Linked DNA regions of Lonchura striata. The protein of the gene in region 1 interacts with the protein of each later gene in a biochemical or structural test. Links are inferred from orthologs where the notes say so. Each region holds a gene or a part of one and is shown in the gene's direction. Other genes may lie near its edges.

What was found.
Region 2: the proteins of CYSLTR2 (region 1) and DLG3 interact in a test that uses a peptide from one of them, tested with the Homo sapiens proteins (2 studies listed by IntAct, with this or other methods). The link is inferred for Lonchura striata from reciprocal best matches to the Homo sapiens genes CYSLTR2 and DLG3.

Annotation. Positions count from the first base shown.
Region 1 is NC_134604.1:62,133,691-62,142,572, forward strand, and holds CYSLTR2 (cysteinyl leukotriene receptor 2), read left to right. Parts: upstream 1-6,233; 5' UTR 6,234-6,289; coding exon 6,290-7,234; 3' UTR 7,235-7,332; downstream 7,333-8,882. UniProt on the Homo sapiens protein: Receptor for cysteinyl leukotrienes. The response is mediated via a G-protein that activates a phosphatidylinositol-calcium second messenger system.
Region 2 is NC_134616.1:19,277,893-19,287,952, reverse strand, and holds the start of DLG3 (disks large homolog 3), read left to right. Parts: upstream 1-5,113; 5' UTR 5,114-5,189; coding exon 5,190-5,205; intron 5,206-7,192; coding exon 7,193-7,324; intron 7,325-10,060. Other genes in the region: glycerophosphoinositol inositolphosphodiesterase GDPD2, read left to right, coding at 467-617, 1,148-1,363, 2,242-2,393, 2,735-2,882, 3,108-3,190, 3,629-3,657, 3,961-4,013. UniProt on the Homo sapiens protein: Required for learning most likely through its role in synaptic plasticity following NMDA receptor signaling.

The DNA of each region.
Region 1 (8,882 bases):
TGCTGACTACTTTACTTGCCTTTCTCTGCATGTTCTCGAGCTCCATAATTTCTGTTTTCAGTGTAGAGACAAGCACTGTCCACTATGGGAATGCATCAATATTTTATACAAGGTGATACCCTACTGGATGGTACTCCTCCTTTTGCTGACAATTTTGGTTCTTCTGCTGTTGTAGCCAATGCAGAACTGACTTCAGCAAATGGTCAATGATGCCAGTGCCAAGTGCCCTTTCCTGAATGCAACAGCCAGTTTAAAATTCATGTAATTAGGCACAATTTAGATTGTTTTTCCACTTTTCCACAGTATGCATCACCTTACATTCAAATATACTAATTCTCATCTGACACCCTATCAACATGGTATCTGCTAGCATGGAGAATTGTCATTTCCAGACTGTTGATAGAGACACTGGATAAATCTAATCTGAGTGCCAAACCCTAGAGGACTCCATTGCTTATTTATTGAGCTCCCACTTTGCTTCCTACACTTCAGCCAGGCTTTCAGCCCACAAATGAATGTGCCTTCCAGCTGTCTGGCAACTTTGATACTTAAGAAACTTAAGAAAGGTACTTTGTTGCAGAGCTATGTCGAAGGCTTTGACAAATGCAATTCTAAATACACAGGTATCACAGAATCATAGAATGGTTTGAGTGGGAAGGGATTTTAGAGATCATCTCATTTGAAGCCTCCTGCCATGGGTAGGGACACCTTCCACTAGACCAGCTTGCTTAAATCCCATCCAACTTGGCCTTGAACTCTGCCAGGGATTCCATTCCCCTTTGTCCTATTGCCACATGCCCTTGTGAAAAATCTCTCTGAAACTCTGGTGTAGGGCCCCTTCATGTACTGGAACATGCTTTAAGTTCTCTCTGGGGTCTTCTCTTCTCCAGGATGAACAGCCCCATCTCTCTCATCCTGTCTTCACAGAAGATGTGCTCCAGCCCTCTAGCCATTTGCATGGTTCTGCCCTGGGCCATCTCCATGATGTTCTTATGTCAAGGTTTCAGAGCTGAATGCAGTGCTCAGGTGGGGTCTCACAAGAGTGAAGTAGAGAAGAAAATCTGCCTTGGCTAGATATATATATATATATATATATGTGTGTGTATATATATATGTGTGTGTGTGTGTGTGTGTGTATATATATGTATATATATATCAAACGACCACTGGGTCTCCTTCATCCATTGTCATCACAGCCCTGCAGTGGGTAAGCCAAACAGGATCTCCCTTTTCAGAAAACATAATGACTTTTTCTCAGCAGACTGGCATTGCAATGAGCTCAGTGCCTTCATTCTTCATTACAGATGCCCCCAAAATGTCCCAGAGGCGGAAATCGGTCCTAGTGGTCAGTAGCTCCTAGGACTGATGACGAGCTTTGAGCAGCCTTATCAAGCCTTTCTGGTAAATGAGAGCTGCACTGATGACACATCAGTCCCCTGGCACAGTGCCTGATTGCAATGGTGGGTTACGTGCCTTGGCTGGCAGTCTCACAGTTGAGATCCTTTGGGATACTGATATGAGTGCCATCTGGTCTCAATTACTTTTTGGACTCTCACTTATCTAGTTGGTTTAATACTTCCTGCCCACATCTCTTGAGTGGAGCTGGCTCCTCTGTTCTTTTTACTGCACCAGCCCTGAAAATATCCCAACATCGTTGGTTGGGAAGAGTGAATTCCCTGAGTATTCCTGCTATGACTTAGTTTCTAAGAGATCTTTTGCCACCAAACTCCCCTGCTAGTTCCCAAGTGTTTTTTTCATCTTTCAGTAGGTTTACAAAACTTACTGTCAACACAGAACATCCTTTACCAGAAGCCCTTCACTATTTTTTTTTCTTTAATGCTCCTTGTTTCCTCTCCACATTTGATCTGTCATGATGCAGACTTTCCTGTTCTCCCCATATTGACAAGACTTCTGTTTTCCAAATGGAGATCTTTTCCTTTGAGTAGTCTTGGTAACTATTTTACTGATAGACATTTGACTCAATATTTCCTAAAATGCCTATTTCTTTTGGAATGTAGGCTTGTTGAATTTCCTGTTTGTTTTCACAGCCCCCAAATTTATGTAGGCTTCTTCCTTCTGGGACTGCTTCTCTGTCCCACGGTGCTGCTGAGCCCAGCTGTACTGTGATTAACAGTACAGACCTACCTCCACCAAAACCTGTGCAGCACTAAAGATCAGATGGCATCTTGTAGAGGTAGAATACCAAGGTAGAATGTCATCTTGTGTTGTGGATTTTTATTTTCAGGTCTAATTATTCTAGGAATCAGGAAGTCATTGCTTATGGACATAACATCTCATCCTGTTGCAGCATTGCATCTTTATAACAACGCTCCAAACCTCCTTCCATTGCTACCTGCTTTCTATCTTCTTACCCTTACTTAATGTGCTCTGGCAACTGTCATAAGGTAGTAAGGAGCTCGGTAGTGCATTCCTAGTAGCATATTTGTATTATTAGAATCTGCCTACAAGAACACTGTTGTGCTTCCCTTTAGCCACAATATTTTTACAGTGTTGTGAGTTATGTAGTCCCTCCTGCACAGTGCCACTCCTCCACCTGAGCATCCTACAGCATCATTACCATAAAGCTGGTAGCATGGCAACACAAGCTTCTATTGATTATCCTTTCTCCTGCAGGTCTCTGAGCTTTCCTTTGCACCAGGGTTTTGGTCTCATGCCAAGCCTGATGGATGCTCTGTCTCTTTTTCAGGTTTGAGATCAGTGCAGAATTACATGTGAGATTTGTTTTTGATCAGATGTTCAAGATAGCATGTTCCAGTCTATTGGATTTGTGGGTAGTTGGATCCTGGGCTTAAAATATGAGAGGTTTGAGGCATTTTTATTAGTTTAGTATATCCTTCAATTAAATAAATCTCCTCTTACTTTTGCTCTATCAGCCCCCCACCCGTCTTGCACACTCATCCATTTGTTAAGGATGTAAAATTCGCCTTAGGTGAGGAATGTCTTTCTGCTATCATCTTACCTAGAATTGCACTAAGATAAAAGGAAAAATATATATTCATAACAAATATGTTTAATTTATAATATAGATGTGTTTGTAATGAAAGATAAATATTTCTTTATAAAATCCTTGCTAATCAAGATGTAAATATTTTTAAAAGATTTCACAGAGATGAAGAAAAGATAAAAAACCCACCCAAACTCTACATCTAATCTACTCATGCAGCAGTTATTTCAGAAAAGGCTCCCTTTTTCTTTCTCAGCTGATTTTCTCTTTCTCATGCCAGGGAGATTGTCAGAGCCTCAGGACATGTGTCAGCTGCTTCCATTTGATAGCTTCCATCAGTGAAACTCATATATAGAAAAAATCTCCTGTTACAAAATTTTCTATAAGAGGAGTCTTGCAGTATCACTGAAGAGAGAATCCCATTTCAGTTTGTCTTTTTCTCTCCTTTTTTTTTTTTTTTTTTTTTTTTTTGAGGGCTGTTAGATCTTACTGCAAATTTCCCTTCTTTTGGGAGACACAGAAAATTCCTATAGGTCCAGTCTCTCACTCTTAACCCATCATGTTCATTCATGACCCAGGAGACCATCTGGACACTTTTTCTGAAAATGAAGTTTATGGTCTGTCCTCAGATAGATCATTCATTCTGTATATCAAGTAGCCATCTCCTAACCTTTGCTGGATAATAACAGTTCTTGGATTCAAGGAAGGATAAAATTCTCCCCTTATCCTCTGTGGTTGGTTGAGGTAGTCCCAAGTGAAATATATCTTTCACTTCACCTTCCCTTCCACATTGATCTGTGTGTCAAGACATAGCTAACAGGAGCATCTACAATGAAAAGTGCATGGGTCATTGTTGGCCCTGTACTGAGTGCAGGAACCATGGTGCTTTAGGAGCTTTCAGTTGACTGGTCTACAATTTCTTTCTCTTGGACATCCCATAACAGCTTGAAATTTAGGTGTTGGAATAACTTCGAGAGGAGTCTGAGGACTGATTTTCTTGCTAGGGTGAAGGATGCTGAATTTTCTCAATTGCACATGCACTATTCTACTCTTAGTCTTGGTCTAGCTGGAAAGAGAATTGAGGAACATTTGTGCAGTTAGAGTTAAAAACATCTTAAATGGCAGTTGTTGGCTAGATACCCTCAATATGAGGAGCCTTAGCTAAGTGCCTCAGGCCCTGTGCGTGTAGTGCTCTTCCCAGGATGCAGGGACCCAAGGGCTTTTCATCAACTGAATATTCATTGTCCCAGTCTCATCCTTCATCAGACAGCACTGGACACAAGCAATCACTCATACTACTGTGCAGGGTGTGAAATTTGTCCACAGTCCAAGTTCTTCAACCTCATTTGACTCCTCTACCTCACGGCTTTCACACACAAGAATGCTTTGACAGGTAGCAGATCCCTTTACTAATATTTCTTTTGTGTTTGGGGTTTCTAAAGGCAAGGATGCTTGGACCACAGGAAAACAGAATCAGAAGGGCTCTTCCCTTCACTGAACCTCAGGCTGTAATGTTTCCCTGAAAAATGGGGGGATCATACTCATTTTGGAGAAAAGCTGGTCTTTGATTTCATACAGAAAGTGTGTATATCAGACAGTTATTCCATAAAGAAAACCAAAACAATTAAATTTTGATTTAATTAGAATCCTTTGATTGTTAAAGATTTGTCTTGAAGAAGAATATATTTTCCATCTTCTTCGTGAAGAAAGAGGATCGCAAATGAGGAGGAGATGAACTTTAGGAACATGTGTTTAGTCAGTCCAGGGCTTTGCTGAGACCCAATATCCATGAAGTACTCTTTGGGAGCCCAGCCTGGGGTTGTGCTTCCCATGCTCCCCATCCCAGTGGGGCTGGATAGAAAGAAGCCTGCTGGGGCACATCTGTTTGCTATATTCAAGAGACTGGGACAGACTCTGAGACACAGCCCTGGAGATACAATGGCCTGCTCTGAACATAGCTCAGGCTTCCACATCATGGCTTCAGTTTGCAAATTAACTCCCATTTACAGCACACTGGGTAGCTGGGTGTTTGAAGTACCCAAATGTAAAGCCAAATTTACCCCTAAGGAGGCTTCACCTGTACAAATAAATTAGTTTCAAATTGTGAAGCTAGTGAGGTTCAGAATAAGAGATAGGATGCAGTTGTGTGCCATGGGCACATTATCACTCTCACTGGGGCAAATTAAAAGCTTCTTTTCCATGCATCTGAAAATGCCATGTAGTTGTGGTTTTCAGGCTAAAAATTTCCATGCCCCATCTTTAGAATATATTGGTATAATAAAGAGGGAATTGCTCCCACTGTCCAACAAGAAACAATACTGACACCTTCCTTTGAAAATACTACTAGCTGCAGGACAGCTGAGATAAAAAATCAAGAGTTCAGAAAATACACATTAATGACAGAAAAATATTATTATTTAGAGTGTATTAGTGGTGGGCAGTTTTGATTTTATTTGATTGAGTCATAGTCTCACAGAGGAAAAATGCCTCTCTCTGTGAGCACGGCCCATTTTCTCAGAGGCTATTTTCATTAGGGCTGCAAATGTAGGCTGCCCTGGAAGCTGCAGTGTGTGTGGATGACTGGTGCAGAAAGGCTGAGCACAAAAAAGGTTAAGAGAGTGGTACGTGGAGCAAAGGCTCCAAGAAAAGAGACATAGAAAGCCACCAGAAGCTAACAAGAAGAAATACACTGCATGGAGGAGGAAGTTAAAAAATGAATTGTGCATAATTAGCACAGTGTTTGCAAAGTGTTTAAGGTCAAAATGTCCTTAATTTTTACATGTATCAAAATACATGTGGTATTGCTCAGGAAATACTACCAAAAACATACCAGAAAAAATTTCCTGGTTCCAAAAGGCAGATTCAGTTCTTTTGGTTTCATTCCTTATTTGAAATGCAGGCCTAGCAGTTGACAGTGATTTCTTTTCTGATCAGGTTTTGATGTTTCCATGGTAGGTGACTAGGGACTCAAAACTTCCCTGCCACAAAATGGCTGACAGCAAGCTGGCTTGTTTTGCACAGCAAAGATCAGAGACTTGTCATTAAAACACACACACAGAACGTCTAAAAGCAGCACTTTTACAGGCTGAGAACAGAACCAGCTGCTGTAGTACTGAAACTCATTAGAGCTTACTTGGGGCTTTGTGTCTTGAGATGTGTATTTACTGGGACATCACAAGTAATTACTCATTAACGAGCCCTTACTTCCCACTGTCATCTGCATCTTGCAATTTCTGCCTTCAGTAAAACAGTCCCAAATAGCCAAACTCCCTGCCCAGCCTATAACCCAGCATTCACACCACTTCTTTTCCTTTTAGCAGAAAAATGGAGACGCTGGCTCGGACTATGAACATTTCCAAGGTGGCAGTAGATGGCAGCTTCACTAACAGCTCTTCCAACTGTACAATTGACGGTTTCAAACAAGTAATTTATCCCATCGTGTATCTCTTTATCTTCTTCCCGGGTGCTGTTGGAAACAGCCTCTCCATTTATGTTTTCTTCCAGACTTCGCAAAGGACCTCAGTAAACATTTACATGCAGAACTTGGCTATTTCAGACCTCATGTTTGTGAGCACTTTGCCCTTTCGGGCCTCATATTTCCTCTTGGGATCACGTTGGGTATTTGGTGACATCCTCTGCAGGATCATGACTTACACCTTGTACATGAATATGTACTGCAGCATTTATTTCCTCGCCGTGCTCAGCGTGGTTCGTTTTGTAGCCATCGTCCACCCATTCAAACACGGACAAGTGACCAACACGAAGTATGCCAGGATTACCTGTGCAGCCATATGGATCTTTGTGCTGGCAGCTGCCAGCCCTCTGTTAAACAAGGGAATCGCTGGCTACAGCAACCCAGTCAAATGCTTGGACCTCCACCCCCCCAGCACACACAGGCTCCTCATGATGAACAGCTTTGTCCTGGTCGTGGGCTTCATTCTGCCGTTCTGCACAATTTTGTTCTGCTATGTCTTTGCCATCAGAGCGCTGCTCAAGTCCAGGGCTCAGCGGAGCAGGAGGGCAATCTGTCACAGGAAGGCACTGTTAACCATTGTCATCACTCTCATCCTCTCCCTCATCTGTTTCCTGCCATACCATATCCTGCGCACTGTCCACCTGCTGTACAGCACCTGCAGCCAGGCCAGCCTGCACAAGGCGCTGGTGGTCACTCTCTGCCTCGCTGCCATGAACAGCTGCCTCGACCCTTTCCTCTATTACTTTGCTGCTGAAAATTTCAAAGCAAAAATCAGAAGTTTGTGCTGCAGATAGCTGGTGCAGAATTGCAAAACAATATACAGTCCTGATGGGATTTCTAGACTGGGCTCATACTATTCAATGACAGAAGCTGTGTGAGTGCTGCTGGCCAGCCTGCAGCTCTGCTGCTCACTCACTGTCAGGCATCTCTGAAGCAGAAGTCTCTGGGACAGAGGTCCTTATGGGTGACAAAACTGAGTCCAGATGATCTGAGGACAGGTGGCTGGGTATGATCCTTGGTTGACTTCTGTTTAGCAGTGTAGAGATACCTCTGTTGTTCACTCTCCCCAGGACAAGGCATTGAAAGGAATCCACCTTGCTACTGGAGTCCCATTATTTCATTTCACAATACTGAGCGACTTGAAAGGAACACTGCTCACCCGACCACTTCAGTGTCTGTGCCTGAACCTCTGAGCACTCCATTTCCCTGCATGTGCAGGGGTTCAGAGACTGTGATTACCTACACATTCACAGTACCCTGCCAGTTCTCCTTGCAAATACTGTCAAAGGGGTTGCACATTATAGAAATACAAAAGATCACTGATGCTTTCTACTGAGGCTGACTTAAAAAGCAGGAAGAGAGGCAAACAGGATCCATCACTGGCTCAGACTGCTCAGAAGTCGCTAACATTTCTAAATTTTCCACTCTGAGCCAGCCACCAAGGTATTCTGCTTAACATTTCATGGGTTGTCAAGGGAGAGAATGATTTCAAGCAAGTGGCATCGTCCTGGATTGTTGTGAGTAAGATGCCTGCTGGCAGTGTGGGCAGGACATGGGTGCCCAGAGCATTGGGCTGCATCCTGCAGCTCTTCATGTGGTGTCAGTTCCTTCAAGGTCATTGTAACACTTCTTTTTCATGCCCAGTGTTGCCAGTGCTTTTCACAAAGCTGAGGCTAAGCAGTTCCATTCCCATGCAGGGATCCAAAGACAAACTTTAAAAATTATTTTGGTCCAAAAAGGTTGTTAGGGAGTGGTTTCCTCTGCACAGGTAAATCAGTCTGACACCAAACAGCTGCCAAAGGCATTCCCAATTGTTCATCTTCAGTCTCATCTGAGGAGGAGAATGATCCCTTTTTTCATAGGATTAACTTCCTATTGGTTTGAATTTCCTACATCAAACATGAAAGAATGCAACAGGGAAGCACTAACCCAGGTACAGGAAGAAAGATGGGCAACAGAGACAGTGGAGGAGAGCTTTTTTAGAAAGCAATGGGAATCTACTCCTGTGGGTACTTTGGAAAATTTCATCAAATGGCTGTATATTTGTAAGTCTCTGAATATTTTCTAAAATATGCTTTCTAAAAATTAGACCTAAGAGAATACAGGCTCCAGACTCAGGCCATATTTAGATTTTGGGTTTAATTACATCATCTTTTACTAAAAACAGACAAGAAATTTAATCATATTTTCCAAGAAAGCAACTGGGCTTATATGAAAACTAACAAAAATGCTGAACGCCTTCCCTCACTGTGAAATTCAAACAAAGAAAGGTTTCTTTCTGTGAATATACTTCTCAATGCTCTGAACTTTGTATGGAGAAAGAACTCCATAAACTGAATGTTATTTCTCCCAAACAAAAATAACAGCAGCAAGCTATTTTTAGCTCTGAAATATGCAGAATACAAATCATTGCTGGTCAGGTGGAAAAGTACTTGGCAAATC
Region 2 (10,060 bases), on another chromosome or scaffold:
TTGGGATGTCACCTCCCACAGGGGGCATTCTGGAAGACACCTGGAGGACTGATAGAGCCTGCATTTGGAGACAGCCCTGTTCAAAGGGCTCTGCCACTCCCACCTTCCCAGTATGGACAGCTTGGTGTCCCAGTGATCTGGGAGAGGTACTGGGTTTCTGTCCTCCCCATGCAGATTGCCTTTTGGGAAGGGAGGCTCCATTCAGGGAAGGGGTACTGCTTGGAAAACAGACCCTGGCTCCAGTTCATCTCATGTAATCCTGTTATTTGAACAGGTGTTTCCGAGAGCAAGGAAATACTTGGTTGGTGGCTTGATCTTTAGGTGCACATTTTTGTGTAAAGGGCCACAAGCAGAATAAGGATGAGGGTTACTCTGGCAGGTGGCTGGGAGGGGGTAGAAATGCTAAGGCAGGGATAGGAGACAAACAACTTACAACATATGGCTTTCCTCTGTGTTCTTTTGCCAGTGCTGATGGGGTCCCATTCCTCATGCATGACGAGGAACTCACCAGGACCACCAATGTGCAGGCTGTGTTTCCTGAGAGGGCTGCCCTGAACAGCACTGCCTTCAACTGGACAGACCTCCAGCGGCTAGATGCTGGCAGCTGGTTTCTGGAGGTCAGGAATGTCCTTAGGGTGGTTGGTTTTTTGGGTGAAGCATTAGCCCTGCCCTGGGACTCCAGCATCTTTCCTGGTCCTAGCAGACACATGGACAGGGTCCAGAAGCCTGCACAAATCCCTTGGGTGCAGTTATGCCCCAAGCTGCAGTTTGTTCTGACTCCTCAGCTGAGTCATGGAGGAGGCTGCTTTGAGAGGGGATGTCTCATATTTGCTCTGAGCACAACCTGCCTGGGCTTGAAGGCAGCTGTGGCCAGACTCTTCCCAAAAGATGACTAACTACTGCTGAGCAGCTTTGAATGCCCACAGGTGTTGGGGCTGCTTGAATTCTGCTGTTAGTGGGGAGAAGGGTGCAGGTCCATGGATGTGCTTAGGGAGGTTCTCTGTGCCCGTCTGCACTGGAGAGCAAGTGGAGAGGCCAGTGTTGGAAACTGAGAATCAGAGACTGGGAGTCCCCCAGGCACCAGTTTGGGATGTGGAAGCTGACAGGTGGTCTGCCTGCGATGACTGCCCCCATCTCACCCTTGCAGCGGAGGCCATTTCCCACTGTGCAGAGTCTTTCTCCTGGAGATCGCAAGGAGGCAGCTGAACAGAGGATCCCATCCCTGGAACAGGCTCTAGAGGCAGCCAAGCAGAGCAACATCTCCATCATGTTTGACCTTCGGCCTGAGAACCACAGTGACTACCAGAACTTTGTCAATGTCACCCTAGGAGTGATTTTACAGTCAGGCATCCCGCTGCAGCAGGTGAGCTGGTCACCACCCCACCCCTGCCAGGCCTTGCTGTCACACCCCTGCTGTGGTGGGAGGTGCCCTGCCAGCCACACTGACCATCCCTGACACCCCATACACCCTGTCCCCATACGTGATCCCTGCTGGGCAGCCCTGCCCAGGTGTGGGGTTTTCTAGCTGGGAGAAGTTGCCAATAATTAGGGTTTAATGCCTATGGCTTCAGACCCCTCAAAATACTTCAGACCCCTCCAAATACTTTGGTTTCCCAGCACTGGCCAGCCTGGTGTGTAAGCAATGACTCAGGCGAGGGAGGAGACCAGCACTGCCAGCATGAGCAGGAATACAATGCTGAAGCTTTCACCTCCCCACACTCCACCACACCTCTCCCTGCAGCTCTTGGACTCCTGCTGAACTCTCCTGTGTTCCTTTATGCTTCATCCAACCCCTGCAGCACAGGATATCTGCTGCCTCAGGGGACAAATCAGCACTCAAATCACGTTTCTTGGCCTTTTGGGAATGCAGAGCAGGAGGAGACATAAAAATGACTACTTATATAGTGGTGATCCAAGGTGCATTCTTGCTGCAGAGCTGGGGATAAATGAATTCACTTCTTGAGCCATTCAAGGACCCAAAGAGGACTTAACTGTTGCAGATTTCCTAAGCTAGAATTGCTTTCCCCCTTCAGTGGGACCTCTGCTTACTTCCTGGCTGGGGCAAGCTCTTAGGAGACTGTCCTGGCTGAGATCCTCATGGAAGAGCTGAGTGTGGAGACCGGGGGCAGGAAGCAGCTGTCTAAGCAGGCCATGTGGGCCTGGACCTGTGAGGGAATATTGGAAGAGAGCCCACTCTCTGGAGCAGCTCTCCTCTGCACATGCTCTCTGGCTCTCGCCTAGGTCCTCTGGCTTCCAGATGGGTTCAGGGAAGATGTCAAACAGCAGGCCCCAGGTGTCCAGCATGTCTACGGTCGGAAGAGGTCTGAGAATGAGAAGGAGGCAGTACTGCGCATCAATCTTCCCTACCAGGACATGAGCTCTGAGGAGATCAGGTGAAAACGCTTTGTCCAAGTGCCTGGGAGCTGTGAGGGTCTCAGGACTGTCCCAGGGGGCAGCAGAGGTGAGGGTACTGAGTACTGGTGTGCTTCTGGGAACAGCTGGGAGTGTGCCTTGTGAACAAGTGTCCCTATCAGCCAGGGCTGTCGCAGAGGATGCAGCTGGCTGCAGTCCTCAGACCCTGCCAGCAAATCTGCCCTCAGTCTGGATCTCCAGATAGTTGTTCCATGTGGCTGCAAATGCTGGATCATATCCCAAATGTACAGCCCCCTCTGGCTGTGCAGAGTGTGGTGGTGCCCTGCTGTCTGCTATTCTGATCACGGCTGTCCCCATGCAGGCAGTACCGCCAGGAGAACATCTCTGTCAACTTATATGTGGTGAACCAGCCCTGGCTCTTCTCCGTGCTTTGGTGTTCAGGGGTGAGCTCTGTCACCACCAACGCCTGCCAGGTGCTGAAGGAGATGAAACACCCCATCTGGCTTCTGGTAAGTGACCCCTCCATCCTTCACCCTGCCCACAGCCCTGTGTCCTAGACACTTGTGGGTCCCTTTCTGCAGCAGCCCTGTGCAGCTGCCTGGAGGGTGACTTCTGCTCACTGCTGGCATGGGAGCATGCGACCCTGTAGAAGGAACTGGTGGCACAGCAGGCAGGGCTGTGCCACAGCACAGCACCCCAGCTGGCGTTCAGTGGCTCGTCTCATTGCCTTGCAGCCCAGCAGCACGTACTTCATGATCTGGATCGTTGTAGACTGCGTTTCCTTCCTTATCATCATCTGGGCTTTTTTCTTGATGAAGTAGGTCTGATCCCTTTCCCCTCTTGAGGCAGGTCTGTTGGGGGAGGTTGCAGTGTGCCCTGGGTGGCTGATGCAGACCCAAAACTGCTGCCACTCCTCTCTGGATTCAGATACTGGGGGTGTCCTCTTGTGTCTGGCTAAGTAAAACAGAAGAGTGTGGGGGTAGCTTTTATCTCCAAGCTGCAGCTAAAAGTCTGCCCTGACCCTGCCTCAGGTTGCTGGATGCCTTAGTTCACACTTGCTAGCCCACTCTGCACCCCAGGGCTTGGTGGGTTGAAGCTGGGAGATCCTGGTCCTGCTCCTTTTTTCCAGTGCTGCAGGCACTGAGAGCAGTTCCCTCTGGGACTGAGGGGCCTCACAGCCTCCAGCTGGCAGCTCAGGGGAGGGAATGGTGAGACCAGACTTGCATGCTAACATCGATCCTATTCCGTCTCCTAGGAAATGTTCCCACAGAAGACGGCCAGCGGGTGAGTGCACACGGAAGGGGAGCTTCCCTCCCTTGGAGCCAGGCTCTGCCTGTGGGACTCTCCCTGACAGGCAGGCAGCTTTCTCCAGCCAAACGTGATGGAATGGTTTGGCATGGCTGGGGGAGGGAAGGGAATCCCAGCTCAGGGAGTTTCTCCTGTCCTGCCATTAACAAGTAGCCCTGTGGGACAGCACTAGGGAATCCCACATTTCCCGAATATCCTCAAACCTGCTTTTTAGGCTACTTTGCCTGTCGATGTGGGATGGTGGCTGCCCACAATGACTGTTTTTTTCTGTCTCCTCAGAGTCTGAGACAGATGTGCTGCTCACAAAGATCAACAGCTTGATGCAAGAGTAACGCCTGTGTCAGCTGTGGGGAAAGGCAGCCAGAGCCCTGCACAGCTCAAGCGGGGAGCACTCCTCAGGCCACTGCAAGGCTCCTTTCCTTCGAGCCTCACTTCTACCGTGGTGTTCGTGGTTCCTTTCATGGTGCACAGCCGCCCTCATCTGAAAAGACTTGGAACTGAGTTTTCATTGCCAAGCTAGCAGCAAGGAACTAAAGCTTTGCAGGGGTGGCCTAGGGGAAGAATATTTATCCAGCAGTACTGGAGCTGAGACCTCTCCCATGAGGTTTGGACAGGAGCGGGGATTTGGGTCACTCTTTGGTGGAGGGGAAGGGCTGTCTCTGCCTGTTGTCAGCAGCTCTGCAGCCAGGGATGAGACACCTGGCTTAAGGACTGTTCCCCTAGGGGCTGCCCTATCCCATGGCTTGAGGAATAGAAAGGGAATAGGGTGGATGTGGATGTGTAGTGGCTTTTCAAAAGACAAAGGGAATGCCGAGCTCTTCACCCTCTCATCCTGGACATAAAATCCTTTCCCTACTGCTGCTGCCTTCATCTTCACAGGACAGGGTCCTGGCACTCCATGCAGCAGTTAATGCCTGTTGCTCGGGAAACAAAAGGATCGGGGCTGGGGGTGGTGGGTGTCAGGAGCTGGCAGGACCGTGCTCACGCTCCTGCTGCTGCTCACGTTGCAGCAGGGCCTTGAGCAGGGAGATGGGTATCGTATCGGTTTGACTTGCTGCTGTCTATTTATGTCAATAAAGCAGAGGAGCGGCAGACCGATCCTGAAGGGGTGCGGCGGGCACGCCTGCGTCCTCCCTTCCGCACCTTTCCCTGCCGGCGGCGCTGCCGGCCCGGAGAAGGAGCCGGCGCAGCCCGGACGGTACCGGCCCGAGGCGGGCTCGCTCCGCGGCGCCTCCGTGCCACCTACTGCCGGCGGGGAGCCGGGCGGGCGGCCGGGCCCTCCGCAGCGGGCAGGGAGGCGAGGCGGAGCCGGGCGCGGCTCGCGGGGCGCAGGCTGAGCCCGCCCGCAGCCCGGCGGGCTCCGAGCGGAGCCGCGGGGCAGGGCGGCGGTGGCGGGGCGCTCCCGGAGGCGGTGCCTGCGGCCGGGGGGCGGCTCCCGGGCGGGGCGCGGCGGCTCGGCCGCTCGCGGGCTGGCACGGAGCGGAGCGGCCGTCGGCCACGGCGGAGCGATGATCCGCCGGGAAGGTAAGGAACGCACTCCCCGGCCCTGCCCGCCGCGCCGGGGCACCGCGGCCCCGCGCTCAACAAGTGTCTGCCCCGCTGGGACCGCGCCCGCTGCTCCGCGCTCCTGCCTGGCAGCTCCCGCCCTCGCTCCGCACCACGGGCGGCCGTGCGACCCGGGAGTTAAGATCCGACGACTGGGCGCTCTCGCTCCACGCCCTCCTCGGCCTGTGGACACGTTGTGCTGCCGTGTCTCAGAGTGGGTGGCCGCGAGATGCTCTGCTTGCAGATCCCTTGCGTGCTGCGGGGAGGAGAGCGGCCATGGGGGTTTAGGTTCTGCGAGAAGGGATTTTCTGTACGTGGGACTTGCGTGCACCTTGAGGCACGTGGACATGGGCCCTGGACACCGTGTGCTATTTCTTGGGAGCTGTAGGAACGGTCCTGCGGTCTCCCTGCCACGCTGGGTGCGCAGCACTTCCCCAGATCGGGAGCCCGCAGTCCCCTGCTCCGGCTGGCTGTCACCGGGTGCGGGTGGCCAGCAGCACAGAGGTCAGCGCGGTGCCTGCCACTCTTGCTGCACAGTGGAAAGTTTACCAGGTTCGCAGTCTTTGTGTCCTGGTGTGGTGGCCCCCAGCTCTCCATCTGCTTCTTTAGTTCTGCTGATAAGGTCAGGAATGACCAGGCAGTGATATCTCAGCCCTGCTCATGGTATGCTAGGCAGTGTTTGAAGCCACTGTTTCACCATGCAGAAAAGGAAGCTCTTAGTAATAGCACAAGTCTAGGATTGCCGTAAAGCCATCAAGGAAGTCCATGCTTTTCCTGGAGTAAGTGTGGAGCCCAGCTCCAAGTCAGAGCTGTTCATGCTTCCCCAGACTCCTTTCCCTGGTTCAGGTCCCACGATGAGTCAGTGTGGGCTGGTGACACCAGCAGTAGGACCCCCTTTTCTTTTCAGCCGAGGAGAAGCTAGAAGGCTGGGTGAGTTGGGATACCGGGTGGAACATACCCAAGCAGACACAGGCCCCCTTGTTTGATGACCTGAATTCTCAAGAGCCCTCTAATGAGCAGGGTCATCCTTTCTGCATGAGTTCCTGGCTTCAAAGATGAGTCTCCAGCAGTGGCGGGACAGCTTCCCTGCCTTCTCACACAGACACTCTTTGTCTGCAGTCTGCCTGGGTGACAAAGTGAATTAAGTAATCACTGATGGGACAGGGATAGTCTGAAGGTCCACAGGAGCTCACTACCTGCCTGAGGTATGGGTCACATCTGAGGTCGAGGCTGCACTGGCTGTCTGCCCAGAGAAGTGTGGAGGTGTCCAGGTGGGGAGATCACAGCTGCACTATTTTAGGTCCAGGGTTTTCTGATAGCTGTCATTAACCAAAATGTTGCTTCATGGCAGCTTCCAGTTCTCCTCCTCACCAGCATCTCCTCTGACCGCAAGGCATTGTATTCCTTTCCCATTTGTCTCCTGCTGACCCACAGCTGCTTTCTGCTTTGAGCAATTCTTATGCTTCACCCTGTAGAAACCCAAGTTTTGCCACTCCTGTAGCTGAGCTGTTTGCACTGTGAATGGGCCTATGCTCAGTTTTGCTGCAGCCATCTGGCCCTGTGTGGGAGGCTGCAGTTCCTGCAGTAGTATTCATAGCCCTGTGCAACCAGAATGTGTCCAGCTCCTGAACAGATTCCTTGTCTGGGAGGTGGCAGAGGTGTTCAGGCTGCCCAGTGTCACAAGGTTCAGAGTTGAGTCAATCTGATTTTAGCCCCTGATTTTCAGGGTTGGTGGCAGAACTAACTTTTCCTTCAGTCCCTGCTCAGGTCTCTGCAGGCAGCCCTCAATGGCTCTCAGCAGGGTTAGCTTTCCCAGGTGTGTGTAAGGAAGTCTGCTTTTGTGGCTGTCGGACTTCTAAAAATCCAGACTGGAAGGCAGCTTGAGGCATAATCCCAGGCTGCACTCAAGCCTTCCCTTAGCATCCTGCAATGTTAATGCCTTGTTACTCCTGTGTCATCTCTGCAGACACTGAACGGGCAGTGGAAATTCTGACCAGATACCAAAGCACCCTGCAGTCCCCGGAGGAGCAGGAGTTAAAAGCTTCCATTGGAAAAGTTTCGCACATCTTCCAAAGTGAACTCTTCCAGGCTCTGCTGGGTAAGCCCCTGCCTTGCAGTCCCTTGCAGTCCTTGCAACCTTGTGTTTAGTGGGGTTTCCCGGGAGCCTGATCCCATGCCGGTGCCTGGCACTGACCAGTGCATTCTGTGGAAACACATGGCGTGTAATGCCAGGGAGCTGGGCTGTCTTTCCCCTCCAGGGCTTAGGCAGGAGATACCAGGGCTGTGATCACTGGGTGTTTGTAGAGAACAGCATTCCTCAGTCTGATTGAGGGCAAGGGGTAACACCTTCTTGATCAGGCCATGCCTGATCTATCCAGCACCTGCTAAGGGATCCTGCCCTGCTGCAAGCACTCTCCCTGCAGTGCAGCCCAGGTGTGTCCAGGAAGGAAAACGAAATTTTTCTGTCTTTAAGAGAGAACCCACAGGTACCCAAGCTCTTTTGGGGAATTCTGTCCTTTCTTGTGTTTAGACCCACCAACACTTACGAGAAACACACTGTTCCAGCAGTTCCATTTCACACAAGACTTAAGAGCAAGGCTTATCTTGGGGCTGGACACCAGAAAATGGCATTTTGAGCACTGTATAAAGTTCTCCATGAGGACTGAGACTAATGCAGCTGAAGTCTTTCAGGACTACGCAGCTTCTCTGTGCAAGACACACAGCTATCTTGCTATTCTTAAGTTCTGTTCACTGTGGGCCGTGGGAAACATGCAGCCTTGGTGGTTTCTGTTCCTGGATCTCCTGGGAAAGAAGCTGAGTTTCCCTGGTGGGAAGGGAAAGCATCCCAGAGGCTCTGCACTCTTAGAAGAAGACCCAGGCCCCAAGGTGCAGAGCTCCACATGTGGTCTGTGGCTCACTCTCAGTGCATTTTGACCCAAGGCTGTCCCAGCCCTGGTGCTTCCCCTTGCTGCTCTCTTGAGGCTCTTACCTTTTCTTCACACCTCTGCAGCCTGAGTTCCACTTCTGTGCCTGCAGAGGTGAGTTGCCAGCAGCTCCTCTGTGCTTCAGGCTTTCCATTGAGGATGAAGTTGAATGCTGTGTCCTGAGCAATTTTATTCTGTCCTTTTTTTCTCTTTTGCTGCTGGAGCATCATCTGGAGACCTTCAGTTCCCAACATGTCCTTTTAAAGTCTTTGTGCTGGAATGTCTATACCAGCAGCAGCACAGGCATGTGCCAAGGGTGGACTCCCTGGAGCAGGTAGGCCCCCATACTGAAGGAGCCAGTGTACATCTCCTTTCTTATCTCTTAATTTATACAATCCACTCTCTAAATTATCTCCAGCCGGAGGCAGGGATCCCAAGCAGGGCTGTGACCTTGACCAACCTGACATTAGCCCAACACCCCTGGCTGCTTTTGTGTGCTGGCCAGTCCTCCCTGGGGCTATGTGAAGGCAGTGAGACAGCTTTCCCAAAGCCCAGGGCTGTTGCTGTTAGTGCAGAAGTGCTGTGGTGAGACTGTGGCTGCAGAGAACACAAGCTGGCTGCAGCTGCACACCGGCAGGCAGATGCTGCAGCGTCCCCAGCTCCCTGCTCTCAGCCACTTGTCTTGGTGTCCTATCAGCCCTGGCACGAAGGAGTGTTGGGAGTGCCGCTTGTTTACTGGTGACCTCTTCAACTGGTTTAACAGGATATTAATTCCCTGTGCCAGAGCGAGCCTTTCTCTAGATGTGTTTACCTAAACTAGGAATTTGCACTAATTATTTCCGCCCCCCCCCCCCCCCTTGACTGCCTCCCCCTGCTTCCCCTTGGAGTGTAGGTTTGTGAATGTCTCTGTCCCAGCATGGACATTGTCTGGCTGTGTGCTCGCTGTGGCTGCACACAGCTGGCACACACTGGGCTGCTTTGTGTCCACGGTCTGTACCCACTGGAGCACAGTAACAGCACTGCAAGGGTGATAGAACGTTTCTATTTTCATTTTTATTTTCACCCCTCCTTTTCCCAGTGGGCCTCTGTGTCTCTGTCTGAAGTCTGCTCCGAGTCACAGGGCTGGCTCAGTGTGGAAGGAGGATTTGCAGGAGAGCACACACACTGCTTAGTGTAGAACTCCCATCTCACTGCCACACACCATGCCAGAAGCTTCTGGCTCTGAAGAGGCCTTAGCCTGCAGAGTCCCTCCTTTTGCAGCCTTTCAGCAACACAGCCCTGTTTTTTTCTGCCTCTGGGAAAGGTGAATGTGTGAGCATGGTCCATCCCTGTCCTCAGGCCACCTGCTCCTGCAGGTGATGCCGTCCTAGAGCACACAGTCTGATTGGAGTTAGAACATCAAAATACATCAGGCCATAGTAGAGCTACCAGCGGTGCCAAATGTCATGGAGCTTGCCAAGTTAATCCACGTGAAAAATGCCAGGGATATGACTTTCTCTATGCTTTTTTTTTTTAAAGAAGAAGCTGGTTTGGGGTCTCCAGAAGCCCCAACCTCTGTTATGTCCAGGACATGTCAGTGTTTTGCTGGATGGATCAGTCACTGTGATCATGCCCAGTGTTGCTCTGCACATGCACCGTGTTCTGCCAGACTCCTCTGAGCATGGCCCAGCCCTTTAAATCCTTGTGACCACCTCCCAGTCCCTGGAGCTGGCTGTGCCGGGGGCACACTGCCGGTGCCAGGACAGCCCCTGTCCTGGCGGCGGTGCGGGAGCTGCTCTGCACTGGAATGTGCCAAACCCTGCTCCTCACAAAAGAAATTCCTTGGCTGTGCAGAGGGAAAACAGGCTGTGCTGGCTCCCTTCTCCTGGCCCCTCTCTCCCTGTCTGAGGCTGTGGAGCCAAGAGCGTGAC